Drosophila melanogaster: one gene and its partners. The protein of the gene in region 1 interacts with the protein of each later gene in a pairwise test. Each region holds a gene or a part of one and is shown in the gene's direction. Other genes may lie near its edges. The genes, in order: SelR, CG5968 and CG11899.

What was found.
Region 2: the proteins of SelR (region 1) and CG5968 interact in a two-hybrid assay, tested with the Drosophila melanogaster proteins (one large-scale study listed by BioGRID).
Region 3: the proteins of SelR (region 1) and CG11899 interact in a two-hybrid assay, tested with the Drosophila melanogaster proteins (one large-scale study listed by BioGRID).

What each region holds. Positions count from the first base shown.
Region 1 is NT_033777.3:10,857,503-10,870,294, reverse strand, and holds SelR (selenoprotein R), read left to right. Parts: upstream 1-2,004; 5' UTR 2,005-2,253; coding exon 2,254-2,323; intron 2,324-3,318; coding exon 3,319-3,486; intron 3,487-3,601; coding exon 3,602-3,766; intron 3,767-4,647; coding exon of another isoform or gene 4,648-4,844; exon of another isoform or gene 4,845-6,408; intron 6,409-6,436; coding exon 6,437-6,660; 3' UTR 6,661-6,940; downstream 6,941-12,792. Other genes in the region: Tsp86D (tetraspanin 86D), read right to left, coding at 330-652, 710-1,262; CG6574 (uncharacterized protein), read left to right, coding at 7,682-7,807, 7,869-7,951, 8,269-8,570, 8,629-9,190, 9,251-9,512; CG14694 (uncharacterized protein), read left to right, coding at 10,492-10,700, 10,765-11,066, 11,130-11,455, 11,510-11,751, 11,814-12,075; CG4570 (uncharacterized protein), read right to left, coding at 12,450-12,792. UniProt on the Drosophila melanogaster protein: Methionine-sulfoxide reductase that specifically reduces methionine (R)-sulfoxide back to methionine.
Region 2 is NT_033779.5:16,546,831-16,555,193, reverse strand, and holds CG5968 (uncharacterized protein), read left to right. Parts: upstream 1-5,234; 5' UTR 5,235-5,307; coding exon 5,308-5,491; intron 5,492-5,547; coding exon 5,548-5,843; 3' UTR 5,844-6,013; downstream 6,014-8,363.
Region 3 is NT_033777.3:29,196,733-29,205,694, forward strand, and holds CG11899 (uncharacterized protein), read left to right. Parts: upstream 1-3,721; 5' UTR 3,722-3,788; coding exon 3,789-3,833; intron 3,834-3,918; coding exon 3,919-4,595; intron 4,596-4,651; coding exon 4,652-5,024; 3' UTR 5,025-5,038; downstream 5,039-8,962. Other genes in the region: CG14515 (uncharacterized protein), read left to right, coding at 902-1,335, 2,353-2,425; Mesh1 (metazoan SpoT homolog-1), read right to left, coding at 5,060-5,176, 5,238-5,582, 5,650-5,727; Cyt-c1L (cytochrome c1-like), read right to left, coding at 5,969-7,003. UniProt on the Drosophila melanogaster protein: Catalyzes the reversible conversion of 3-phosphohydroxypyruvate to phosphoserine and of 3-hydroxy-2-oxo-4-phosphonooxybutanoate to phosphohydroxythreonine.

The sequences.
Region 1 (12,792 bases):
TTCGACTTTACTTGTGACTAAGAATGCGCTGACGTTTAAAAAACATACAGAGCAAACGAACACAAAGGAGTATAAATACTTTTTCCTAAGCCTAGGAGAGTATGAGAATACTATTGAAATACTATTATCGCGGGACATTAGAACTTAAATCTATCGAAAACACAAGAGATGGTATATAGGGAGCTATGGATTATTCTAGGAGTGGGATTCGGTTTGAAATTATTTGAGCACGGGCAGGACCAAAAAAGTCCGCCTCACATCCGCGAATTGTAATACGGGTCGTCTTCGCATGGCGGATATCCGTAGAGATACGGATGGTGGCATTGCACTCACGACCAGCGCGACTTCTGCAGGTCGATCTGTCCCTCCAGGGTCTTGGCCAAATAGATGACGAACAACTGCAGCAAGGCTATGCCCAGGGCAACGCCGGCAATCACATACAGATTCCTCTCGACCCATACTCGCACGATCTCGATGCAGCCGCTGGTCCAGATGCGCTTGCTGGCGGCGGCCACTGAACGCACCTGCACGCCATAGCCACACATGATGTTCACTAGGCCGGAGCTGATATCGGTGGCATTAATACAGCAGCTGTAGGGCACTCCACATCTCTCCACCGACGGCGATGAGCAGTTGAAGTACTCGTTCTTGCCTGTATGCATACGGACATGGAATTAATTCGTTTGTGGCTTATGAATCAAATACTCACTCCAATCCTGGTAGCCGGCGTTGCTCAGGCCGCAGCAGTTAAACTCCTGCTGGGCAAAGTCGATGAAGTTTTGCAAGTCGGAGTCGTCACGGTACGAGTGGATGATTTTGTCCGTGAACTGGTACTCGAGGAACGAGTTCATGTACTGCGGGAAAACGAAGCAGATGATGGCCAGCGACATCTCCAGTATGAAGAAGAGAAGCAGGCACATGGAGTACAGCTTTAGCAGCCAGGTGTTCTCGCGCAGCGCACCCAAACAGCCGGCGAAGCTGACCGTGAAGACGATGACTCCGGCGATGATCATCACCAGGGAGATGTTGAAGATCACATCGTAGATGGTGTCCAAGCGCAGCCAGCCATTGCCGTCCATCAGTTTGTCCATGAAGGCGTACACGCCGATGGCCAGGAGCAGGCCGCCGAAGAGCCAGAAGAGGAAGTTTAGCAGGAAGATCATGTACTTGACGCAAGAGGAAACGTAGCTGAAGTGGTGCGGATAGGTGGAGATCCGCGGGTGCATGTAGTTGCCCCCCTGATGGTATCTGTGATTGCTCATGGCCACGCGAATGTGCAAGTCGTGTTTTCAGCCGAGTATTTCGATGAGTATTACTTTTCCTGGTATTTTTGCCCAGGTTTCCTCCCCCACGGTTTTTTCTTTTTGTTGACGCCCTCTTTGCGTGTGGTCTCTTCAGCGGCCTGCACGGCTGTTTTGCTATAGTTTCGCAGTGCGTCAGTGGTGGACTGTCTAACTCTGGTGTTTCCCCGCAGCGAATATGATGAATTAACGCACTAGCTTAAATTTTATGACTGATAAGCAAATTTATGGAGCCACTAAAAATAACAAAGTGCCCGGCGTTGCCAGACGTGCTGTCCAATTAGGCAGCAGTTGGCAGCGCGGCCAGTCAGCTGTTCGCGTGACCGTACTGCCTTTGTTGCCTATCATCCAGCATTCGATTGGCAACGCGAGCCAGCCAGGTGTTTGATTTTCATCGCGTGCAGCTGTTTTCCCAAGCAGCTTTTTTTGTATTAGTTTTTAATTTTCCACCGCTGCGTAACATTGCGACGCACGCTTGTTTTCGCCCGCGTTTGGCGCATTCATAAACAAAAGGCCAAAAATAGAATCAGCACCATTTAGAGCGCTATTCAGCAGGTGAGTAGTTTTCCAGCTTAGAGAAAACCCAAGGACGCACCATTTAAGTGTGGGAAAATTAAGTGTTTTTTCTTTTCGGTTCTCCGCTGGTGACATTGAAGCACAATTGCGAGCGCATTTTCCCTAATTGAGTTGCGACTTTCTCTGCACTGCGCTTTCTCCTCGCCAAGCGTTCAAAAGCAGAAAAGCGCACGAAAATAGAACGGAAAATGTGGGAAATGTGGTAGACGGAAGTGGCAACGCGAATTGCATAAATATTAGTTAGTACGCGTGGGCAGTGCGCAGTGGACAAAACATTGACTTTTCCTCCTTGCTCTGCTCATTTTCCCCCTGTTGCTGTGCTGATTAAATAACCAGGCAGTGCCAAGTGCAGTTGTCACCTGAAATTAGCCACATAATGTTTGCACTTTCTGCTCGCCACGCACTGCGGCGCACTCGAATATTCGCCATTCCACGCTTTTTCGCAGGTGAGTTGCACTAAAAAGTCGCAGGTATAGTTTGTAATACCTGTGGGCGTGTCAGCCCATGCTCATCGATTGGCCATCGGCTAATTTTAGACACAATTTGAGTTGATTTTTTTATACATTTGCATTCTATATGAACGCAATTTAGCCGCTATTTTCTGACTTTGCTCGCAATGAATTCATTGTCTTCAATTGCCCGCGACACACTTGGCTGGCTTTTCTATTGTTGCACTCGGAAAAACCGAAAATAAAAGGTGACTGCTCCACCTACGCTATTCGATTTTCGGTTTTTTTTTCGGCTTTTCCTTCGCCTTCGTTTGCTTTGGGCGCCACTCCGTTTGATTGACGGCGGGCAAGCAGCATAAAAAGCCATAAAACTATTTTTGGCCCAATGCGTTTCTCCACTCCATTTGTTGGCCGCACTTAACAAATCTGTTTACACCTTCATTAATTAGCAGGCAAGTTTGTATACAAAATTGGTGTTACTAATTCCCTGGATGCACAACTTTGATTTTGAGTTTTCAAGATTGTTAACAAATTGTTTAAGAAAATGATAAGTATTTTCTATATTTTGTACGCTATATATAGCTTTTGTTTAATATTGGAATAAGAATATTTATGTATATATTTCCTTATCAAATTGGGTTCCAAAAATGCCAAAAATTTTCTTCATATAATTCATTTTCATAAATGGTATGGTATCGTTTGTATGAGAAAACAAGATGATTATGAGTTTCGAGAAAGTATTTTCAGCAACTCATGGCTGATAGTAGTAAGCTTCTTATCGTCAGATGGCCGCATTCAAATAAGCGAGTTGAGATTGCCCAAGGTTTCGTTGAAAGTCCCACCGATAAGTGGGCAGATTATGAGGGAAATCTTACAGAAGCTTGACGAAATCCCCTACTCAGTTTCCATTACCCAACTGCTGGCGAACCGAAAAGCACACTCAAACCGACCCGACCGCAAATCAAATACCAAAGTATTGTATTGCATTCCAGATTCACGCCAAGACAGCGACAATCCGGACAAAAGGTATTCCGGACCAGCAGCGACTATGGATAACAAGAGCGAGAAGGTTACGGTGAACAAGGAGGAGCTGCGCAAGCGCCTGACCCCGGTGCAGTATCAGGTTACCCAGGAGGCGGGCACCGAGCGACCCTTCACAGGTGAGTCTCTCCTAACAAAACATGCAGCCATAAGCCATTATCAAGATGGAACGCCACCCCTCGAACAAAGTGCATTCAATTCTGATTCCCAAATGATGGAATGCAATGTCCACAGGTTGCTACAACAAACACTACGAGAAGGGCGTGTACCAGTGCATCGTGTGCCACCAGGATCTGTTCAGCTCGGAGACCAAGTACGACTCGGGATGCGGATGGCCGGCCTTCAACGATGTCCTAGACAAGGGCAAGGTCACGCTGCACCGCGATGCCAGCATACCAGGTGCGTATTGGCCAGGCGGCCCACTTTTGGCCAAGACCTTGCTCGGCACTTTTAGCTGTTGATTATTGCAAAGCGTTTTGAGTTATGTTTTTATTTGAGTTGCTGTTCCGTTGCCGCACCCAAGAGTTGAGAATTTCATTTGCGTTTATCCACCTAGGAGACAATATAACCCAGACTAGAGTAATTATTCGCCTAGTTGTCATGTGTGAATAAGAGCAATCATAAGATTACCAAGTTTATAAAGAAGCCTTGATAACGATTAATTGTAGAGTTATATAAGCATATAAACATATACATATGTATATTTCATATTTTGGTATGACCTTCAGCTTGATTGTTTTCCATTTCTAAAGAAAATGGTGTGCATAAGTCATTGTAAAGAAATAAAATCATAAAGTGAGATGTTTATAAGAAGAGGCTTATTAGTTAATGGCTTAATTAAACCTTATAAACCCATTAGCTAATATTATTCATTTAAAGTCTGTGCTGTTTGTGTTGCCTTGTTTGTTGCTTTGTTTCGTGTTTAAAATCTGATCTTGAACCCGACCCCAAAACTGTTCCACTGCCCAGAGTTCACTGTAGTTGTGCCGTTGGCCTTGCCATTGTTGTGTTACTGTGTTTAGTCTTGTGCCGGTGATTTGTGACTAGTGAGTGTTCCTGCTGCCGTTGCAGCACCTGAATGTGCAACAAAGCGAGAAGAAGCGACTAAAATTGATTCCTAACCGAGTATTGTGTTCTCTTATCCCACTCTTCTATCCCGCCTGACTTTCTCAACATTTCTTTCTTTCTAAAAAAAAACCACATGAAATACAACTAATGCCATATCGATTCCACCCGAATATCACCCACGAGTATCACTTGTAAACCGATTAAACCAACAGTAGTCATTTCGAAAACGCTAGGCATGGTGCGCACCGAGGTGCGCTGCTCCCGATGCTCCGCCCATATGGGCCACGTCTTCGATGATGGACCGCCGCCCAAGCATCGACGCTTCTGCATCAATTCCGCGTCCATCGATTTCGTGAAGAGTGCGACGCCATCGAAGGCGGATCCATCGACGGCCTCGTCCAAGAAATAATGACCGATCTGCCTGCTAACCACAAGGAATACCATTACACCCGGAGGAGTAGCCCCATATAGACCAGCGGTAGATGCTACTCCGGGTCTATAGAGGGCTGCAGGTCCAGCAAAGAAAGATATTTAGCTATTTTATAGGCGTTTATTATGCAAAACTGTTTAACGAACAAAAAAAAACATAGCTTATACACAAGAACGATGTTTGAAAATGTATTGCGGAACGAGGAGTGAGAGTTTAGTATTGTAGTTCAGCCCAGCAGATTCCATTTGCTATATACTTTTCCTACTTTTACCCTATGTATGTTTCGGTTTCAAATCTCTATCTCTATATTATAACTTTATAAAGTTTACGAAAGTTTTATGAACGGAAATGCGAGTCTACAGTTCCTGGCCTGGGTTTATGCACTCTTTTCGGTTTACAATCTCACTCACTGTGTAGATGAACTCTACTTCTCAAAAGTATCTCCCCTTGCATTCTCATCGTATCTATAGGATATGTATATTGTACGTTAATAAAAATTAACCCATTTTGTAGGAACTTACGTGCTTAGCAAGAAGTTAAGTTTTGCGCAAGGTTATCATTTATTTTGGGATAAGACGAGGGTTCCTTTAGTTAGTTTATATGTTTTTCTTTTCGGTTAAGTGCAATTTTCATACATATTTCGGTTTTGAATCTACATAGATCATTGAGCTTTTTCCACATACCATATTTCGATCATTATACAAGGTCGATTGGATTTATTTTTGGGCCAGGGCCATTATGTGTATGTCTGTGTGAATGTGGTGCTTTTATTTTAAAATATTATTTTCCGGTGCTGTATTTGGTTATTTGTATGATTTCGATTTACGTTTTAGTTTGTTGCTTTTTACTCACGCTCAATTTTCTTTTGATTTCAATAACATAACCCGAATACTTTAACCAACATTATATCCATAAACTATATAGAGTGTTTTAAACAATCCAAATAATGTGTATTTTCGTATATTTTCTATTTCTCTTTTTTTAACTCGCTTCAAAAACAAAAAAAAAACTAAATGTACAACGCCTGTAAACGTTTTTTGGGGGTTTGTTTTGCTAACCAAAAACACGAAAACATTTAACTCATCGCTGAAATTATAACACCCGAAAAAACGACACATGAAATGCTTAATTAACCAAAATAACATGTACGCCAAATCGTTCGGAAAATCATCTATATTCCTGATTCGTCAATTATTTTCACCGGTTTATGTGACTTCATTTCATATTGTTTCACCTGCCACCCATTGTTAATTATCGCTCTCTCTCTCTCTCTCTCTGCTGCATCTCCTCCTTCGCTCTCTGATTTGCACTCCCATTTATTTGCCGTTATTTCTTCGCTCTTTTCTGTGATTCTTTCTCTGCTTCACATTTATCACCCATTTCACAATCAATTTTCTATTTCTGTTTGATTTGTTTACACCGAAAAACTTTGAATTAACCTTGCAAAACGATCAAAAAAATGAATATATTGTAAAAAATGTCAACAAAATGCGCTACACAACAAAAAAAAAAAACAACAATCAAAACGTATCCAATTAATCCCACGAAATGGCAAAATACAAACTAAATAGGGGGCAATATTTTACTACTAATCGCACATCCAGAACGTATACGCACTGAGGTCCGCTGCGCCCGCTGCAACGCCCACATGGGTCACGTCTTCGAGGATGGTCCGAAGCCGACCCGCAAGCGCTACTGCATCAATTCCGCCTCCATTGAGTTCGTGAACGCGGATCCCGCCACCTCGTCCCCGCCCGTGGCCACGCCCACCGCGGCGCCCATTGCCCAGCAGTGATGCCGAGGATCAACCGCCAAACGGAGGAGGCAAGCCTCAGAGTGTCGTTGCTGTTAAGAAATTTTTCTACGTGTACTTTCTAACTTTCCGCAAATGTGGCCAATTTTAGCTCGTAGTCAAGTCAATCGCCCCTCTGTTTGTGTAAATAGCTAATGTTTTGGTTCGAAATTTGTTCGTTAATTTATACAAACCCAAATACCGAATACTCTGTAACCCCACACATTCAACACAGTACTAATTTTAAAGTGAGCGCGCTAAATAAACGTGTGTTTTTTACAATAAAACGGTGCTTGCATGTGTTGTGTTTTTGCAGTTGTCACTATTAATTTGAACGTAGTTGTTAGTGCCGACCAGGTGAGAACGGAACAGCTGAGCCGCGTTGCCAACTACGTCAGTTGCCTTCCCTTGTTTGCGCAAAACAGATGCTGCGCCGCAGTTGTTGTTGACGTGACGTAACGACCGGCGACGCAACAACATGAAATCGAATTTATTTATGGCTCGGAAGTCAATTGATTTTAATTGCAGTCGCCGTATAAGGTGAATTTAAATGTTTATTAGCCCGAAGTGATGTGCTGGCGACAAATCGATAACAGCGAATGGGCCGAGTATGCGATCGTTTGATTTTGAAGTGCGACACGTGTGTAGGGTGACTGGAGAACTTTTAAACTGGACCACCCACCTGTGCGTTCCACATGCGATTGTTTGCTTGTGACTTTCAAACCGCATTGTAAATTCGCAATTATCTAACAGCGATTTCAGTGTAAATACAATTCGGGCACGTCGAAGTGATAATTTCGGATTCGCGTCGCGAAGAGATTAGATTTGAGCACCCGGCGACGACGACCATGGCCTGATACACCAGATTGCCCGTGAATCTAGGCAATATATTGAGCTTCACCTGTCCAGATGCAGAAAGGCCCAGCTAACGGCATCCCACTTCAGTGTTTCACGTAAGAGCTTGCGCCGCTGAATCTCGTTGCGTAGCGCACGTTACGTCAGTGACCGTTACGAAATTTCGAAAATGAAGGAGTGGCTGAAGATCTCCTGCCTCCTCTGTGTCTTTGGCTGCATCCGCGAGATCCGTCCGTCGGAGCCCTACGTCACGGAGTACCTGCTGGGTCCCTGGCGGAATATCACGGAGCAGCAGGTGAGTGGCATCTCCCACCATCTATCCATTCCATAGAATATCAAATTTCTTCCCATTCCAGCTAACGCACGATGTTTACCCAGTGGGAACCTATTCCTACCTGGTGCAGTTGGTCTTTGTATTTCTCATAACAGATTTTCTCAGGTAACTATTCGCTGAAAATTATTTATCTTTTAAATTAAGGATAAAATGTATTTTCTTAAATTAAACGTGGGACTGAGTTGCTATCAGCCAATTTGATATTTATATTTTATAACAAAAATTGTTCGTAATCAAATACGAAACCAGTCATTTTATTTGTAACCAGAAGGTGACCTACTCCAAAGTCAAACTTTTGCCTTCGCTAGCCAAAAATTTATTGTGATTCAGCAAATTGAATTCGATTTGATAGCTTTGCAATTAAAAGCTGTTCGAACGGAAACAGGCTTCATTTTATAATAACTATATGTATTATGTTTCAGATACAAGCCGCTGATCATCACAATTGGAGCTGCGGGTGTGATAATATGGAGCATGCTCATCTGGACCACCAGCTTGCTGTCGCTTCAGATCCTGGAGTTCTTCTTCGGCACTTACATGGCCGCAGAGGTGGCCTACTATACGTACATCTATGCCAAAGTGGACAAGAAATACTATGCCAGAGTGACCTCCCACACCCGAGCAGCCATGTTTGCAGGCAAACTGGTTTCCGGCATCACTTCCCAACTTATGCTCAATCTGGAGCTGATGAACTACAAGGAGCTTAACTATATAACGCTGGGCAGTACGTACAATAAATGACCTACAACTTGGGGCATTAATCATGCACATATATTCTACAGCTCAGATTATAGCCATGCTTTGGGCCTTTGGCCTGCCCCGCGTGGATAGGAGTCTTTACTTTCATCGGGAGCAGTTGTCCATTACGGAGCCGCAGACTCAGCTACCCGGGGTGGGAAACCTGGCTGAGATGGATCAGCAGCAGGAGAATACTCAGAAGCAGCCAGGAGCACTGAGCCTTCTTTGGCTACATTTTCGGAATGCATACACCAATCCGCGAGTCGTTCAGTGGAGTCTGTGGTACGCCATTGGACTGGCTGGTTACCTGCAGGTCACTTACTACGTTCAGGTTCTGTGGAAAGTGATCGAACCGGAGCCTGTTATTGCGTGGAACGGCGCCGTTGATGCTGTCCTGACAGCTCTGGCTGCTCTAAGTGCTTTGGCCGCTGGTTATCTGCACACCGGAAGGCTCAGACCGCGAGCATCTCTTCTGATCCTGGGCATTCTGTCCGCCGTGGAGGGCGGATGTGTGCTGATCTGTTGCTGGACACAGGACATCTACTGGTCGTATGCGGGCTTTGTGCTCTTCGGCGCCCTCTACGGCTTTACCATCACGGTGGCGAGGTAAGTCTTATGATATTCATAGGCACTCCATATATAGATGAATTTTAATTTTTTTGGCAGTGCTGAAGTGGCCAGAAATCTGGAGGAGGAAAGCTTCGGCCTTGTCTTTGGTGTGAACACCTTTGTGGCCCTCATTTTCCAGTCACTGTTAACCATAATCTTTGTCACGGACACTGGTTTTGAGCTCGATCCCGTTGGCCAGTACACGGCGTATGCATTCTATTTTATTGGCGTCGGCGTCTTGTATCTGATATCCGTGCTGATTGAGTACTTAATGTGCCGCAACAACGACGTCGAAAAGCTGGAAAATTCACTGGATTGAGTTCCGAGGCATTTAGATAGTACTTAAGGTGAAAACACAACACGTTACTTAAAGAAAGACTGGTTCCTGTGCGTGAACTACCATAATATGGTATTCGTGCGATGGTCGATTGTATTCCCAGAATATTTAGGTCATCTTTTTATTACCAATCTGTTGGCGATTCTTAGTATTTAGTAGAAATTTCCATTTATAGAGCGCGTGTAATCAGTCTCAAGTGTGCAGGAATAAAGATACCGAGTTTTAGTATAGAATAATTGTGTGTTTTATTAATATTATCTTACGATTATTACGTTTAATTTATAGAGCAAAGTAATCGAAGTAAAAAGCAAGCGTTTAAGTTTAAATACATATTATTAATCATGTAGTCTAGATCCGAATATGACAACAATCGTTATAGATTTCAATTATTTTGTTGATACTATTACCCGGAACAATTTCTTTTGCACTTTTAAAGCGGCTATCGCTGATTATTAACTTATCAGTGTTGATATTTTGCATTAATAGATTACAGAAACATTAATAAACAAGTGTGTAAGGCTCTCTGAGAAATTCAGTGCAAGATAGATCCATTTAAGTGCCCTGCTAATGGGCTAATTAGCTGCTAATGGCTGGTATGGCCAACTTGGAGTGGGAACCGCATCAGGCGAGAGCAAGTTAATCGCGATCGTGACCATGCTGCTCGCTGTAAGCGGAAACTTCCCGGATATTCCATTACCTCACTGCTCCGCTGGCCTGCACCAAATCGGAGAACACTTGGATCGTAAATCGCGAATGGGCCAGCGCTGATTACAAGCGTCGAAGGTAAATCTCTATACTCGGCACTAGCCTGCTAACCCCTTGGAAGAATGTGCAATTATTATAATAGCTGGTCGAAGCTACACGCTGCCAGACATATATCTATATGTATGTACATATAGTCGGTGGGATCGCTGGTTGGCGTTAAGATCGCGATTAGATTCAAGCCGACAGCCGTAACGGGATGGAGTCGTGGCTGAAGATATCGTGCCTGCTATGCATATTCGGGTTTCTCCGGGAACTTCGACCCTCGGAGCCATACCACGCGGAAATCCTGATGGGCGAGTGGTATCACGTCACCCAGGACGAGGTCAACCGATCCGTTTACCCGGTGGGCACATACTCCTACCTGGCGCTCCTAATCTTCGTCTTCCTCATTACGGACCTGCTCAGGTATACAGCCCATGCATGAATGCAATCTTTATTGGCCAGCAATAACCCTCCGTTTGCGTTGCAGATACAAGCCCGTGATCATCGCCAATGCCACTACAGGCATCTGCATCTGGGGCACACTGATTTGGACGACCACTTTGAGCGGCCTGCAGGCGGTGGAGGTTTTCTATGGCTTCTACCAGGCGGGCGAGGTGGCCTACTACTCGTACATCTACGCCAAGGTGGACAAACAGTACTATCCCAGGGTGACCTCGCACACCAGGGCAGCCATGTTCGTGGGCAAGCTAGTTGCGGGAATCCTGGCTCAGATGGTCATTGGAATGAGGTGGATGAACTACAAGCAACTGTTTTACATCACCGTCACCTGTTGGTTACCAGTTAGCAAAGTGATTCAATAGCCAGTTAACCAATGTTCCCACTTTCCCACAGCTCAAGTTGCTGCGCTGCTCTGGGCATTCTTTTTGCCAAAGGTGGAGAAGAGTTTGTACTTTCACAATCGAAGCGAGGCCATAGAAGGTGGAACCAAATCGGATGGTGGTAACCTGGAGAAGGGTTCAGAGCAACCCAGTAACGAGGAAGCGAGCCAAGAAAAGAAGATACCAGCGTTGCAGCTCCTTTGGTCCCACTTCCGTAGTGCCTACACTAATCCCTTGGTGATACAATGGAGCTTGTGGTATGCCATCAGTTTGGCTGGATTTCTGCAAATCACCACCTATATGCAGGTGGTATGGAAGTCCTTCGAGAACGAACCAACAGTGAGTGAGTTTCAATAATCAATGGCTTTCTCATCCTTGAGATTTCCCCTGAAGATAGCCTGGAATGGAGCTGTGGACGTGGCCCTGACGCTTCTAAGCGCTGTGTTCGCCCTTCTCGCCGGTTATTTCCATGCTGGACGTCTGAACACCAGGAGCAGCCTGCTCTCGATGGCTCTGCTGTCGGTCCTGGAAGGAGGTTGTGTTTTGCTTTCCTGCTGGACCGATGATATATATCTGTCCTATCTTGGCTATGTGCTGTATGGAGGCCTGTTTGCCTTCACCATAACAGTGGCCAGGTAAGCAGTTCTTGATCCTTTTCCAACAGGTGAAATTTACCAAATCTCGTAATACCTTATAGCTCGGAGTTGGCCAGCAGCTTGGAGGAGGATAGCTTCGCTCTGGTGTTTGGTTTCAACACGTTCGTGGGACTCCTCCTGCAGTGCATCCTCACATTTGTCGTCGTCTCGGAAAAGGCCAATCTGAATTTGAATGTTTTTCAACAGTTTTCCGTCTACGCATTCTATTTTATAGTTATTGGAATAGTCTATTCTATTGCTGTTATATTGCAATATATATGGTCAATTTCGAAGAAACCAAAAGCAATTCAGGAGGCGAATTAACAACATACTCTAATGATGAAAAAGTGTTCATTTATCAAATAAAATTGTTATACATATTTAAAGTTTGTTTAATAAAATAATAATTGGCTTGTATTCTGAAACATTATTACTTTTAAGAAATATTTCCCAAGCTGTTGAAACATCGTTGATATTATATTGTTTTACACTTTATTAAAATGTATATGTTTTTTTATAGTTATAGTTTCAAAAAATGAAGATATTTAATCCTACGCCGCGAATCTAATCAGAGTGTACCATGTACATTATATGGCCACTACAAACTTAATAATATGTCAAATTAAACAAGATCATGAACGTCGTTATTTTCAATACAACATTCAAGAATCAGGGTGCGATTGGAATCCACAGCTTGGCTAGCAGAACTCGGTCTGATCCCCGCCGTTGCGGAGGACCGCTGAGACCCGCCACGTCATCGACTCGTAGAGCATCTCAATTTTGTCCACCATGTCCTGGTCGCTGTGCCAGACGTCGTACAAGACGGCTCGAAACTCGCTGACATTTTTGGGCGCCTGATTCTGAATCCTCGGCTGGATGATGGCCATCAATTGCTCGAGGAGATTGAGGTCATTGCAGACACTGCCCTCCGGTCCCATCAGCGAGTCAAGGAAGATCTCCTTTGGCGGCGTTGATTCGTCGACGAATTTAAGATCGTCCATGTTGAAGATGTTGCGCCAGTCGCGCACGGTCCAATCCTGA
Region 2 (8,363 bases), on another chromosome or scaffold:
TTCAATTTGATGACCACCGGCCAAAGGATATTATCAAATATTTAAGAACATTTTGGTAAATTTTCGCTTTATGAACATTGTTTTTATATATTTATTTATATATATTTTTTTCCTTTATCAATGTTATTAAATATAAATGACTATTTGCATAACAATTACACCATTTGCTATAATTTTCCATTTCAATTGGCTTACGCATCGGAAATGAGAGATGTTAGAATTTTGCACGTGGCTGACCCTTTAGATGTTTCGCTTACACTTTTGGCCGGCCACTTCTTGATCTTTGGCATTTTGGTCCCACGCGGCGTATGATTAATATTTGTATTAATTTGTTTTATTGCGCATACGACGCGTGGCCCGGTCTTATCTTAGATGCGGCCCAATGATAAATTCGCTGCACGCTCATCACGCCCCATTCACATGACATGACGTTTGACTAATGACAGGCCACCGCCCCCACAGCTCGCCATTATACCATTTGTGGAAAACTTTAAATGCTTAACTTTAAGCTAAGCAAAAAAAAAGCGTGGAAAATAAGATAAAGTGGAACACAAAGGAGCGAAGCCAGTAAAAAAGGAGCAGCTATGTAGGCAAGACATAATAACATAGATAAAAGGTTGACAACTTGCTAACAAATGAAATGCAAACATGTTGCAGCGGTCCTCGAACACAACGATGATGATGACTTTGGGAGGGAAAACGAGAAGGAGGATGAAGGAGCCGCACAAAGGGAAAATTTATATGAACGGTAGCCTAAGCTGCTCAACTGATAAGACTGCCATGGAAAACTTATTAGCCAACGAGTAAATACACTTTTTGGATTATAAGTATATAGACTGCAAAAGAATAAGTTGCACTTAAAATATATTCCATTATAAATTTATGTTAATTTCTATCGCAACTTATCTGTATCTGTAAATTAATACGTATAACCATTATTTTAAGGGTAGATATCAAAACGCAAAACTCGAAAAGCTGTAAGCGCCACTTAGCCTATATTTTCCTGAATGGGTGGGCGTCACAGAAAGGAAATCCTGATAAAAAATACTTTTTCGGTAGCTAAATGAACTCAGAAATACTCTCTCAAGTCACATTAAAAAACTCAATTAAATTAAACTTATAAAAATATAGTACTCAAATGAATTGAAGCTAAAACACTTCAGTTTTTATTACCATTTGAGCTATTTGAACAATAAACAACAAATTTGAACAACAATAAAAGCGTATTTATTTATATTTATCTTTCTTTTATCAATCTCTCATCAAACATGTACATATCACTCTCGGCTAAATGGCTTTACAACCTTAATCGAAACTCCCCGTAGGTTGTAAAACAAATGTAGAAAGCGGCTTGCAGACAGGCAAACTGTGAAAGGAGCTTAAGGATTTAAGCCAAGACATGGAATGGAAACGGCGGGAGTCCGGAAAAGTCGTTCGAAAGGAGGCAAAACGAAGGCGGCTCAAATGCGGTGTGAGTAATTAAGACGCAAGTGCGTAAAAGTTGCCCGCATGAAAATGACGCAAACGATCAGCGTCAGACGAGAAAATTTGTGACAGTGGAACAACCCCCACGAAAGTAAGCAAAAGAAATGGCTTCAATTAATTGAGTTGGGGAAAAATTGAAGAGAATACAATTGCTGTTTAAAGTGGCATACTTTTGGGCATCGCCAAGCGAGTGTAGGAGCCCACTTAATGCTGGTTAAGCTAGAAAAGAGGCTTATGCCCAATCAAAATGTCTTAAACAGTACAGTATATGTTGTTGATATTTAGACTGCTCCAGCCGGGCTTGGCTTTAATTCTTGTGAATTAACCATATGCAAATCACATTTCGCAACAGCTGTCTGTCGTCTGCTTTGCTGTGGAAAACAAGTCAATTAAAATTGCCAATCTATGGGTATAAAATTTCCAATTGGCCAAGAAGGCACGTCCCAGACATAAAACAAAATTACAAAGCCCACAAAACAAGGATGGCACACACACACACATGGACAATAAACAAATTGCAATTAGTTGATATATGAGATACCAGATACGTACGTACGTATGTACGACTATGTATCTGGCACATACATAGGTGGAGCAGGTCACAGTTTATTGCCCGTATTCAGGGAGCTGCAAAATGCAACTCATATTTTACCAAGGCCAAAAATGTCTCGCTGCCTGCTCATAAAACATTTTACTTGGAAAAACCCAAACTGACACTGATGCTGACACTTTCACACAACTCATCTGTACCCCCCCCCCCAGTTCCCCAACCACCATGCCCCACCATTGTGCATATAATTTGTCACTTGCATGGTCTTCATACACAGAGAACATGATCTGCAGACAGACCACCAGAGAACACGAGGCACGCAAAGAAATTTCATGGAGCTCATTGAAACAATTACCGTTAAAGCTGGCATCACTAAACAAGACATACATAATACAAAAAGTTGAAAAAAAAATTCTTTTGATATGTCTGAAATGCCTATTCGATTAAACAGTTTGTCAAATGTAAGCGTTTATAAATTTTTTATTAAGTTTTAAATCAATTTTTAAATATATATAACATTTATATCCAGACATGCTACTGGGCCTTAGTTTTAAAGATTATTAAGTTATGTTAATATGAAAATATGCTAAATTCGTTCGATATAATTAGGCTTCGCCAGTATTTTTCTTTTTTTTTGGTGGTGTAAGTTCACAATGAGGAAAAATAAGGGTTGGGGTTGCCGGGCAGGTCATCCTTTCGAATAAAACACAGCAAGTATAACTGTCAGGCTGCAGAGGCTGCCGTTTATCACACATGTACACACACTACTCGCATGTACACTCACCTATGGGTCGCACTGTGTGCTTATAGGTTGACTCTGCATAAATGTCAAAGAAGATGCGAATGTGTGTGTGTGTGTGTTTGCCCGTTTGGTATAGAAGATTTCAGTTCAATTAAGCGTATTTGGCTAACAAATTAAACTTGAAGCAATTCAGTGAGTCAAGAGAAACCATTGACATAAAGGCAATGGGTTTTCAAATCGACATATATATGTCAAATTTTTAGTATTGATGTTTTTTTAGTTTTCAGGTTATCTATTTCATACGTATTTTATTTAAAGTGCTTTACCTAAACCTTAATAAATGCTTGCATTCTATCCATTCTGAGCCGTAAATATGCCTGAATTTCCTGTCCAATAAAATCCGTTGCAGCATTGTTCACAATTCAGCTTTTCTCATTTGCCATAAATAATAAGTGAAAAGCGTGTCATTCTAAACACGCCTTCTGCTTTCACCTACCGACTTCATAAAATACCTCGTTCGTGTTTTATGGCTGTGCACAGTGACAAGTGTTAAAATAACATTTGTACTGCATTTTAAATGGCATTTTGAGAAAAGAATTTCCGTGCGCAAGTGTGTTGCCATTTTGAAATTCTTTTATTTCTAGTGTGCAAAACGTTGGGGCAAAACAATCAACAAACGAATTTCCTGGTAGTCCGGTGTTTGTATTTCATTTTTGGGCTAGAGTCAAAAGGCTACATTTAACCGAGGAAAACATCAAACATTTTAAATAAATGTTCGCTCTGGGCGGAGAGCTGTTGTCCCTGATTTTTCAACGCTTCTATTTTTAGGTCTATACGAAACGGAAATCAAATAGAATTTAACCCACCTACAAAAACCATTCCTGCATACACACACAGATACATTTACGGCAAACAGACAAAGAAAAAACAGAAATCATAGCATACTTTAATGTGCTTTAGGGCCAGCAAAGTGAAGGGCAAAAAATGTATAAGAACTTATTGTAAATCACCGGATTGTTGAATTTTTATTTACATTGAAATTTACGTTTTAATTAATATGCAAACATGCACATAAAATTTGCGTTGGAAATATTCGTTATTGATTTTAAGATCCTATTGTTCTTTTTCCATGAATCGTTTATTTTATTATTAAAATAGAACGTAAAGAAGGAGCTCATACAACAATATTGAACAATTATTAATTTTATTGGCTTCTTTTCGGTCTTTTTCAGTTTCTGAGCGTACATTTTCCCATTTAAAAGTTATTTAATTACTTTACATTGGAAACATTTTAATATTTTAATGTTTAATTCAATTTAAAATGAATATTTCTGTATAAAATTGCCAAATAATATCACAAATTTTTCTTAAGCCTTTAAAGTTAAGATGTACAAATACTTAAAAAAGAGTACAATATATATATGTACGTAAAAGAGCATCGGAGAAACGATATATTTCTAGCTGTCACATTCGTTTTAACCATTTTTTTTATTGACTTTCAAACGTTCGGTTCAGTGGCAGCCATATGGCAAACTCTGACACTTTTTGATTAAATTACCGTTGACTGTCAATATCAAGAGTAAACGGCACTGCTTTCCAACTGTCCTTGGCAGCACTGGAACTGGCGTAGTTTTTGTACTTAATAGGCATTAATAACATTTTAACTTTGTTTAGTGCTTTTTGTTCGCCTTTTCATCGATTTCGCCATTGCCTGAAGTTGAAGATGACTGAGCATTGACATCTTTGTTAGTCAGTTGACTTTGACAGCTGTTGAGGCTTTAATTGCCACTATAAAAATGATTGATAACGAAAACTTTGGCGTGCGTATAAACATCCTTTATTGTTTTCTTTGCATTCGCTTTTTTGTGCCGTTTTTTTTTTTTCTTTTTTGCACAACCCAGTTTAATTAAACCTCCATATGGTATATATTCTGGGCTCGATTACCAAAGTGTGGGCGGTCAGGGATTCTATATTTAGACCACGCTGATTAGAAACAGCAGTGGCGAAAAACGTCAGCAGAAAGGCGTCCCTGATGTAAATATCAGAAGCCAATATTGGAGAACAGAGAGCGGCAAAGTTTGCTCAATTCTTTTACCACTCCTGTTGTTGTGAGTCGGGGATTATTGATAGATATGGCTAAATCCGCTTATATTGGCCAGCTTCTGCAAGGCTGATAGATAAGCGCTTGACGTCGGCCAGTCTACGTAAGTCTTGTTACCAACTGGATGGCGGTCCAAACTTGGCCAAGGATTCAAATGCCAGCGAACAGAGTACAATCAAGGTACAGGTATTTTTCTATCAATATGTACTATTCTCTTTTAATTAATAGATTTCTTTAAAATAATTGTGTTATTTAAAAGTGTAGGATTTTGTAATATTTAAATTAAAGCATGCTGAGAACTTGGTTGTCACTGAAATCTGACTAACAGCTGGCCAGTTGTATTTTGTGTTTTGCACGTAACTCTCAGTTCTTAGAACCGATTTTAGTGATAGCACACGTTTATACAGAATTACACAAATATCGAAAAAAATGCCCAACTTTAATGGGGCTATTATAGTGCACACACTTCAGTTGTTGAAAGCGCCGGCGACACTGCGAGAAATAGTGGTAACCATAGCCAAAAATACGGAATTATCGCAAGATGAGCTTAAAGAGCCTGTGAAACAAACCCTTGAAATGGGCCATCGCTTGGGATTCCTGCAGAAACTCGACGGTGAGATACTTAAACTTATTTTTATACCACACCTTAAAAAAAGGTAAATTCAAAAGGTCGCTACTTTTTGATGAATGTGACCTTCGAGACATTGATGTCTGAGATGGAGGCCCTTGACAAAGAAGAATCTCCGGAGAAGTCACTTAAAAAGAAAAAGAAATTAATACCCAAGACTCCTTTATCGTCGGTCGCTGAGAAAAAAATTAATAAGAAGCCAAGTCAAGTCAAGACAACGGAACAGTTGGTAAAGTCAAAACCAACTGAAAAGGGCCGACTGCAGGACATTCCTAGTTCATCCACAAACATAAGAAAAACGCCATCCAAGCTGATTAAGCGAACAGTTTTTAAGTAAGCCACGCAAAAGGATATTCGAACTTGTCAAAAAAAAAAAAAAAAAAAAAAAAACATCCAAGAAACCAATGCTACATATATTTGTTACAGGATAAATTTCTTGTCCGTTCTATTATAATATTTGGCCCAAAATAGGAAAAGATATTAAAATCTTATAAAATTTCATTAAAGCGTTTTTAAATCTAAATATTTAAAATAGGTCCATTGGGTATAATCGATTAAAATACGAAATTGCTGTCGGGAATAAGTCCTTACTTTCCGTCTCCTAATTCCCGTGGCCAATGAGAGGGTGCCTTTGAGAAATGGTGGCTCATTTGCGCAAACTGACAAATGTCTCAATTAGCGGAGGACGAATCCTCAAATGCAAGGGCGGTGGGGAGTATACATATATTCGGGAAAGTGGGTGGCAGCGAGGCGCCCGACAATGTCGCGACGCTTCCTATTCAATTTGAAAACCAAATGAAGCGTTGCCTCCGCCAAGGAGCAATTTACTCAGTGCATTGAATTGACCATATGGTTGGACACCCACCGAAGTCACCCACACGCCATCCGCACCACCGCCCCTCGAGGCATTTAGAATGGCCAACCCACCAGTTACAGGATCCCTTAAATTTTCGTAAAAAGCTTTAATGCACTCAAACAAGTTCTACACCATATTGTACTGTAAAAGATTTCAAAAAAGTAACTTTTTTTAAATCACTGTATACTTCATATGGAATATTTTTAGAGATTAAAATATTTATTTCTTTTTTTTTTATTTATTAGAAATCAAGTTCTAAATATACTATTTTATTTTTGTCATTAATTATTGTTGGAAATAAAGATGTATGAATAAAATATTTATTTTAAATAAACTTATGAATTTCGAATGCAAATCCATTTTTTCCGGTGCAATTGTAGGGTTTTTTATATAGTTACTCGCGCTGCTTTGCTTTGACCTTTGCGATGACGTCGGACCGGCGTCGGCTACCTCAAAGAGAGAGCAATGTAAACAGAGAAAGAGAAAGGCAGAGAAAGCAAGAGAGAGAACCAGTGGGGGAGAGAGCCTGGTGAATAAACAGCATGGTGAGAAGCGGTTCCTACGCGAAGAGTGCAACAAATGTTTGGTGGACAACTTCGGGCCAACAAGGTAAATGTTAAGGCATACACGATGGCTGAGTGGGTGAGCTTGTCGTTGGGTGGTTTTAGCGGGCGGTGGGTTAGTTGGGCGGGCTGCTTAGTGGGGTGGTTGCTTTTCGGCCCGTGACGCGTGGGCAGCGACAAAAGCGGGTGAAGCTATGTCTTGCCCTTTTTTTCGGCATACTGGCATACATAGCACGGCGAATTATTTGTGTGTGCCGATGTGCGGATATACAAATGTGTGCCTTTATAAGTGTGCTTTTATCAGGGTGCGTCAATCTAAGCCAAGTTCTGAATTTACGAAAGTCTTGAAATGCCAAGTATATTCTTATAAAGGTTTAAGCGCTAAAAGGAAATCAACAGTCCGCAAAAATAGCTGATCTTAATATTTCTTCTATTAAAAAAAAAGCACTTAATTTTAGTTCAGATCTTTACTTAGTTTAAGTCCTATATGCATGAACAAGTTTAATCAATATTGAAGTTTTTTATATTTAGCTTCGAACAAATTGCTCCACCCTAATGCTCCTGTATCCTTGTTCGCGATGAGCGTATACCCAGACAACGAAATGTCACAGCAGCCTACTTATGCTTTTTTCGCATCGCGTTTTATCCCCAAATGTGTGTGCGATTTTTGGTTCAGCTTTTTGGCATATGGTCGCCGTGCCGGAAAAGTGGGAAACCGGTAAGGGGGCTGCTTTCCCATTTGCAGTTTGGCTGAAAAGCTGTTTCGCTTATTTCCCTCTTTTTTAGTCAACCGTTTCTAGATAAATATTTTGCAACACCGCATCGCATTTCCATGATTAGCAGATAAACATATGCCAAGTTGCAAACTTGGCGTGTGTGTTCGGAGTGTAGAAGTTTAGAGAATCCCTGGGTAGTGGGCGGTTATACACGCGACTTTAATTGAGCTTTCAAGAGGACTAAGTTAAACATACAAATGTTTGCTTAGGATGCAACAGCTGTTGGCTGTGAGTTAAAAATTGTTCGAAAAAAACCTCTTTGGAGAAGTGGAATATCTTAAAATATTTAAATTTAAAATTTGATTTAAAACAATAAATGACGTAAGGTTTTTAAATTATAGTATAAAAATACTAGATTAATCGAAAATTAATGAAGTTTTGTATACCGCATTGAAACTGTGTATCTAAAGCTTTTAACTATTTAATGCCCAAAATTGCCTAATAGCGGTTCAGTTTAAAATAAAAAAAAATTTAATTACCCGTTATTATCACAAAATATATTCCTCACTAACTAAAATCCTTTTATCTTTAACCCCACACCCATTGTCATTCCATTTGGTTGGAATGTAACGCCTGCCCTTAATTCAATTAACTTTAATGAACCAAATTATAATTGCAAATAAATTATCTTATTAAAGACGCAGAAAGTTCGCACTCTTGCC
Region 3 (8,962 bases), about 18 Mb from region 1:
AAACAAACTGCGGAACATGTTGCAGTGCGGACAGCATTTTCCAACATTTTCCAACATTTTCAGCGATTAGAAGCATAGAATTTCGCAATGGAGCACTTAGAGCAGCACCAGAGTTTCGGGCCCAGACCACCAAACCGAGCAAAGAAATCCGATTCGTCGACCAGGGGAGGGACTAATGTGTGACCCAGTTTGGATCACTGTGCAGGAAAGGAACTCTGTGTGTTTTGGCCATTTGCTTTTTGATCATTAAAAACTGGTTGGCCGCCGCCAGCTGAGCGCCCCACTACATTTGCGGTCAGCTTAATAGCACCGCTGCGGCCATAAATTAGTCAAAGAAAATCTATTGGGATGGCAGCTGGCATCTGTCAATGATTTATTCTTGACACATCATTCCGTGTTAGTTCTTTTAAGAATTAAAAACCAAATAAAATAATAGTAATGATTTACGGTTGGGTCTTAGTGCAATTGTTTAGTAAATAAAGTTATCAAAGGCTATTAATTACTATTTATCATAACAGTTGATCAACAGCAAAGAGTTCTGGAAGAAAAGCGTGGAATATTCGTTTATATTTTTGCATATTTTTGAATATTTTTTTAAACAGTACAAATAACTTTTTAGAAAAAGTTTTATCGTAGTCAAGAAAAAGATGATTTAGCGCACTGACTTCTCCAATAGCTGGCTTTCTTGGATAGCTAAACGCTCCTATTCAAACACCCCCGACTGTGGCTATCTGTCCACTTGAACCGCCCGCCCATGTCTTCGGCGGCAGCGTCGCTTGTGGCATTGCCGCTTGGGTTTATAAGCGGCCGGCGATGGCGGCGGCGAGCCGAGTTTCAGCGTCAGATTAGCCGAGAGCGCGCGCGTTTTTTCCCACGATCAGGAAAATCGAATTCCAGAGCCATGAAGGATCGATTCAAGTGGTTGTCGCTGGAGCTGCTCCTGCTGATAGGCGCCGCAGTCGCCTTTCCGGACGGCGCTCCGGCGGACACGTGCGTGAAGCAGCGGGCGAATCAGCCGAATCATGGCAAGGCCCGGAGTCAGCCGGCTCACTCGAATCCGTACGAGGTGGTGGCCGATGCGCAGACCTACCATCCCGGCCAGCAGATATCGGTGGTCATCTACCCGCACTCGGACCAGAGCACCGTCTTCCGGGGATTCTTCCTGCAGGCGCGTGATGCCAACTCGAACGAGTGGATCGGCGAGTGGGTGCAGAGCGAGAACACCAAGACCATTCCAGAGTGCTCGGCCATTACGCACTCGGACAACCGGGACAAGCTGGGCGCCAAGCTCATCTGGAAGGCACCGCAAAATAAGCGGGGACAAGTCTACTTCACGTAAGTTGGAAGTTATAGGAGGAGTGGGTTAATTATATAGCTCAAGCCAATGGAATTATTAGAAAGATCTAGAATCTATAATCGAACTAACTTTCAGTGTTAAGTAGTGCTCTTACAGTCACAGCAAACAACTTAAATGCATGCAGAAGTTTCACTACCAACTTAATAAAATAAATGACCGCTTAGCACCCATTTTTTCGGACAGTTTCAATGAAGCACTTTGTCAAAACTGGCTTCGTACAACGCAGTTCGTGTCTTCTATGGCCCATCACCCTCATAATAATCATCATTATCATCGGAGGCGACGGTGGAAGTAGCATAAGCCGTGGCAACATCATTGTGCCTCGTGAAGGGATTCATTAATCATACGCCACGTTGACCCACATAATGTAATGCGCGCATAATTGTCAGGCGGACAAAAACTTGCCGGATAATCGCACAAAAGGCATTATGTAATTGATTTATTTGGAAAGAGCACACCCCTCATCAATGGTCCACAAAAAAAGGCATCAAACGGCAAAGACGCCGCACAGTGACAAGCTCAAAAAAGCCAAAGAAAAGCTGTCAATGCTTTTTATGCAACTTTGTCAACTTTGTCGGCAGATAACACTGGCCAACATAGACAAGTGCCAACTGTGAATTAACCACACAAAACTTATTTTCCGGACACTTGTCTCATTTGTCATTCTACCAAAACCAAAATATGCAAATATGGGTATTAATCACAAACAGACAAGCAAAGTTTATGGACACATCTTGCACAAGATCTGAAATCAATCATCATAGTACACTAAGGGAATTAATGCACAGAATTATAAGCTATAAAATGTATTATTTTCTCCATAACCATTTGATTTGAAAGTACTGTAGTCCAGTGTCGTCTCACCTTAAAAATCATCTGCTAATATTGCCTAATCATTGTCTACTAACTATTTATAGACTTCCTTGCGAATAAATTAGAAAAAATCATGACTTGCGAGCAACCATAAGAATTAACATTTTCACTTTTCGCTGCAGGGGCACTGTGCTACAGGAGTACGGAACGTTTTGGAGCGACATTGTGAACAAAGTGCAGGCGGAGCGGCCATAACTGAAATTATGTACTTACTTTTAAGGCAGCCGGGCAATAAATCTTAAAAACCCTAATTAGTCAAAACGAAATTGTTGTTTGAGGATTTTTTTTCGACTGCCATTCACCATTCCGACGTCTTGGACGTCGGACGCCAAAGGCGCCCCATTGAGCTGTGCAATCAACATTACAGGGCAAAATTATTGGCTTTTTGGCTCAGCGCTTATGAATGACCAGCCCACATCCCAGCGCCCAACGAGGCGAACCAGTTCCCGTCGCCCACCACAGACAGCACCTTGCCACCCACATCCGCCCACATCCTCCCACCCACTCCACTCCAAGTCCGAAATGGAACGCACGAGCCGAGCACGTTTGGGTTTCCAGACACGTTGGCCAGCTTCTCATAGGAAATTCGTTTTGGGCGCCCCGGCAAATTGGAAACTCTAAGCACCTTTCAGGCTGGCTGTGCTATAAAGTAATTAGACGGCCAACGAATTTGACCAAGACATAGGCCAAGATAAGTATTCGTAGCATAGGTCTAAAGCACTTCTGATTGATTGCCCTTACAACAATAGGAAGCGGATAAGGATAAGGAATCGGTTTGCAGATATGACCAGGCGTGCAAAAGAGTTCGCGGAATTGCTAATCGGCAGACGGTTTGTTTTGCTTGAAATTTACTACCAATTATGGTAGCCAACTTACTTAAGCCTTAGTTAAATATATAATGCCTAATATTGGTTATACTCTACAGATAATTCAATAAAAAGCTATGAAATCATAAACTCACTGTCGCATGCATCGAAGCTCCACTGTACATTGCACTTACACATTTCGCTTGCAGCTTGTTTACTCGCCTGCGAACTCAGTCGCTCGCTTGTTATTGTCATTCCAGCGAAAAGTGCATGGCAACCCACGCTGGCTTGGGGGCGGGGCACACACACGATGAAGTGGGGGGGTTACTGGGAAGCACTTTGTTTTCGTGCGTTGCACATATGTACATATGTATGTATGTACGTACATATGTAATTATATACGTTAGCCGACTTGTTTTGATCGAATTCGCCGTACCGCCGCCTGCCTTTGTCTGGCTTTATGGACTCCACAGGAGCGCAGCCCAAAATGGGGGGCTTGGAGTCGAACACCCTCCCGGTGGAGAATCCGTCCCTGGAGCAACCGAGTTCGTTGTCCAGTCGGGCGAATTTGAGTCTGGTTTTCCGCACGCGTTTTGTTTACTGTCCGGTGACTTGTTGCTGTTCTCTGTGCCCGCCTTCGTCTCGTTTATCAGCGATTGCGAATACTCGCACGGACTGCTCAACACTTTAGTCAATATTTAGCCGCTTCCCGGAGAGGTTCATAGATCGCAGACGCACTACATAGTATCAGCATGGTTATCAACTTCGCCGCCGGTCCAGCCAAGTTGCCCGAAGAGGTCGGTGAAATGGGTGGCACCACTCCACACACGTGACGTGTAATAGTAACCTTGATTACATGGTTATCTCTATCTGCATATATAGGTACTGAAAGAGGTGCAGGAAAATCTTGTCAACTGCAATGGCAGCGGCATCTCGGTCATGGAGATGTCCCATCGCTCCAGCAACTATGCCAAGATCCATGATGCGACCATCAGCGATCTTCGCGAACTCCTCAATGTGCCCAGTAACTACAAGATTCTGCTGATGCAGGGCGGTGGCACCGGACAGTTCGCTGCAGTGGCTCTGAACTTGATTGGCAAGACTGGCACTGCTGATTATGTAATCACCGGCTCCTGGTCGGCCAAGGCGGCCAAGGAGGCGGCTCAGTACGGCACTGTGAACGCGGTGCTGCCCAAGTTGGCAAAGTATACAACTGTTCCACGACAGGAGACCTGGAAGCTGGACCCAAATGCCTCATATGTCTACTACTGCGACAATGAGACCGTAGAGGGCGTGGAGTTCGACTTTGTGCCCGAGGTTCCAGCCGGTGTGCCACTGGTGGCCGATATGTCCTCCAATTTTCTGTCGCGTCCCTTCGATGTCTCCAAGTTTGGCGTTATCTATGCGGGAGCCCAGAAGAATATCGGACCAGCGGGCACCACGGTGATCATTGTCAGGGACGATTTGATAGGCAAGCACTTGAAGATTACGCCCTCCATCCTCAACTTTGAGCAGATGGACAAGAACAACTCCCTGTTAAATACTCCGCCGACCTTTGGGTGAGCCCAGAATGATACATGGCTGGTGAATTCTTTGTTAAACTTTCCCCTTGCAGCATCTATGTGATGGGCCTGGTTTTCAAGTGGATCAAGCGGAACGGAGGAGTCGCTGGTATGGCCAAGCTGGCGGCAGCCAAGTCCAAGTTGATTTACGACACGATCAACCAGTCGAATGGTTTCTACTACTGCCCAGTGGATGTCAATGTGCGTTCGCGCATGAATGTGCCCTTCCGTATTGGCAGTGCCAGTGGAGATGATGCCCTGGAGAAGGAGTTCCTGAGCAAAGCCGAGGCCGAGGGCATGATTCAGTTGAAGGGTCATCGGTCGGTGGGCGGCATTCGAGCCTCCCTCTACAATGCTGTAACGCTGGCGGAGACCCAACAGTTGGCCAATCTGATGCTGGCCTTTTACAAGAACAATAAAAATTGAACAGGTTCATCTGTAATTTGTTGGTTTTTGATCGTTTACAAAAGGCCGCGTTGGCGGAAGATCTCGTCCAGCTTGAGCTCCAGGTTGGCGTTGGTTCCTCGCAGATTGTCCACCACCTTTTTGGCCCAAACGAAGTACTGATCACGACGCTCCTGGAATGAAAATATGTGATCCATAAGGTTCCGTTTTTCAAACCAAGATGGGCCCAAATACCTGTGTCCACCCTGTCGGTGTGTTGACTTGCAGATCCCTTAGGTTATCCAATTTGTCAGCCAGCTTTATGAGCTTTGCTCTGCAGCTGCTTTTGGCTGCATTTTCTATTTGCAGGCGTTTTCTCTCCTGTTTCTCCAGGGACTTGTCGTCCGTCACCTCCCTCACTAGTCCACAAACATCCGGTCCAAAGAGTTTCTCAACATCCTCGAAAGATGCGTCCGTATCCTCCACGACATCGTGCAGAAGTGCAGCCATTAGGACTCCCTCATCTGTGATGCAGGCCTCCACGGAGAGAATAGTGCTCACATTGATCACATGGTTCACATAGGGGGTTTCCTGAGGATCCTTGAAATGTAAAAAAGATAGTATTCATGTTTTAAATATATCATTTGTTGCGTTTTAATAAGCTTACCTTGCGACGTTGCTGCCGGTGCTTAAAAGCTGCATATTGGAGGCACTCCATGAATTTGGCAGATGGATATGTGGCCATTGTTGTAAGAAATAATTAAATGAACGGGCCTTTAGTTCAAATTTAAAGTCTAAACCTTATTTTTTGCATTTATTTACATTTTTAACATAACAGCTGACTTAACAGACCGGCAAGAATCTATAACAGAGCAATTGTTGGTGCTTTACAGCGCGGATGGTTAGGCCCTGGAAAACCTATCGATAAATAAAAAGCGCGGCATTCATTTAAATTCAAAAACCTTTATTTAAACAGTTCACCAAACTTAGTCCTTCTTCTCGTTCTGGTTCTCGCACTTGTTGCACTCCTGCTCCTTGGCCTTGCGCGCTGCTTTGGCGGCCTCCTCCGCCTCTCTTTTGGCCTGGGCCTCCAGTTCGGGAATGAAGAAGATCTTGCGAGACTTGAGCGTTGACCACTTAAAACGCTTGATGTAGTAGGAAATGCCAATCAAAAAGGTCGAAATCAGAGTAACTTTGATGAGCAGCAGGCGACGTTCGTCGGTCTCCGGTTCTGAAGTCCACTTGAGGAAGACGCACACATCCTTGGCAATTTGGGCGGCCGAAGCAGGCACATTTGGATCTTCAAAGGAGACCACCTCATTGTCAACTACCTTGCCCATGGCAATCGCTCCGCCCGAGAAGTACGGATTGAAGTACAGTCCATCACGAAGGGCAAAACCAGCCGGAGGATCACAGTATCCGGTGAGCAGGGAGAACACGTAATCCTCGCCGCCCTTGCGAGCCGACACAATATAGCTGAGATCCGGCGGATAGGAGCCATTGTTGGCGGAACGGGCCGCCTCCTCGTTGGCGTACGGAGAGGGGAAGTGATCGGACAGCTTGCCGGGACGCTCGTAGTACTCGCCCTCCTCGTTGGGCCCATCCCGCACCGTGATGGCCTCCGCCTCGGCCTTGGCCTCCGCCTCCGTCATGCACACTCCCACCAGGTTGCGATAGGCCATGTACTGCAATGAGTGGCAGGAGGAGCAGACCTCCTTGTAAACGGTGTAACCTCGACGCACGCTCTCCTTGTCCAAGGCGGACAAAAGCCCTTTGTGATTCCAGTGCTGGTGGGCCGGATGCACGCAGTCCGAGGAGGCATCCACGCTGGTTTCCAGGGCGTAGATCAGCAGCCCTGCTGTTCCGGTTAGGGCTCCCAGGGCTCCCAGCAGCTTGCGATTTCCAGTAAAGCCGCTTCCACGACCCGGAAAACTTATCCGCGGACGCACCGATGTCCGCTGGATGCCGCTCATGGCCAGCTGGAAAAGTTTGCTGTTCAGACTCCTGAATTTGTTGGCCATTTTCGGTCGGATTCAGCTTTATCTCTCAAAACGATTTATTTACAATGTCAACGCAACCAGTGTTGGAAAGCTCTGTCGACTGGGGTTGTCACCACTTGGGGAAATATGTTCTGTCGAAATGAAATCACGTGTGTTGCGGTAAGTTAATATTTTAATTATTATATATTAATTTAAATATAACACCATCACATGCAAAATTACGGATCAAGTGAATGGCTTAAATGCAGTAATAACAATATACATTATCAATTGAAAGATTAACACTTAGGAATCTATCTTTACTGTACTCACCTATGGCAAAATATTAGACTTCCTCCTTTGATGGCAAAAAATCGTCATTGCGAAGAAAATATGTAATTGTTTGGAAATATTGAAATGTGTAAAAGTATAAGCTTTTTCACAACAATTTTTTAATGACATTTCACACAAAGCCGGCAAGAGCAACCTTTACCTACTAATTAAGATACATATCGATCGAAATGCACTTAAAAGCTCTGCTAAACTATTTGGAAAACATCTAAGCCCCTCTCCCTTGTGTAAGCAGTATTAAAAAAGTTAGTTTCTGGAACTACAGAGAAGGCAGGATGCTTAGAAATCCCAGCACAGACTTTCTTCCACATCAAGCCCAGCTTAGCCAGATTCTTATCGGTGATCTTTCTCCATAAAGCATATGTAAACCAAAACCCACCCAAAGTGCTGTTATTCTTCACAGCTAAAAGGTTGAATCAACGTTTTTCTCTATTGTTGTAACGATCGCCTCCTTCTGGGTTTCTTTCCTGTCCAACCAGCGGAGCAACTTAAAAATACAAAAAAAAAAGCAAATGCCAGGGCACTTTCATTTGTTATCTGGCTCAGTAATCTGTAAATCGGTAACAGCCCACCAAACAACGGTGCATACAATATTTCCTAGCCATTCTTCACACTGTGTGACCACGAAATCGTCAAAGTCAGGCCCAAGCCAGCTTTTACAACAGCCAAGGAGTAGGGGCGTCGGCTTACCGCAATTTTAGGGGGGCTCAGAATGTGGGCAAGGTAGTAATGAAGCAACCAATAATTGTCATAAAGCTGCTTTACTACCCTTCAAATTAATCAGAACCCACTAAACTCCATTACAATGCTTGGATTGTAAGCTTAGAGGTGATAGTTCCATAAAGGGGAACCCCCTTTTCGACGCCTATGGCAACCAATAATGACAATGCACTGTCGACGTCGACAGAGCGATGTAAACTCTATTTTTTTTTTTTTGTTTTTGGTGAAAATTTGTACCTGATTTTATATTTCCCTTTTTTGTTACACTCTTTTTGTAGCTGTTGGTCTGGTTTTCTTGTTTTTTTTTTTTTCAGTTATTACGTATTTCCATGTTTACCATATTTTACACGCGCTTACAGGCACACAGATACAGATACTTCCACGGATACAGATGCAGATACATTTACCCCCGGATTTTCCCTATGTGCGTTTTTAGAGTTCTGCTTCTGCGCAGCGATGCATAATTCCCACTTTTGAAATTTGTGTGCGGTTGTTGTTGTTGTTGTTGTTTTCCTCTGCGGTGGTGGCTAAATGTTGTTGTTGTTGTTGTTCCCGTTGCCGCTGCGCAATTAATAATTCTTTTCGACTGGCGTGAAATTTTCATAAGCAAGAAAAAGCAGCAGCAACCGCACCAACTTTCCATGAAAATCTCCGGCCATTAGTAGCAATCGCAACGCTTTTCACCGTGGAAAACCGCAGAGATTGTGCTGCGACCCCATAGAAATGGGCTCACGTCATGAATTTTATTCAAATTACAAACTCATTAATAAATGGCGTTGTTTACATTTAAGTAGAAAACAAAGCGGGCATGATTGTCCAATTTCTAGATGATTATATACTATGGTTAGGAAAATCTATCACGGAATATATGATATAAAGAAATGCAGTGGTATTGTGATTAATTGGAATCTGCATATTTCTCCACTTAAC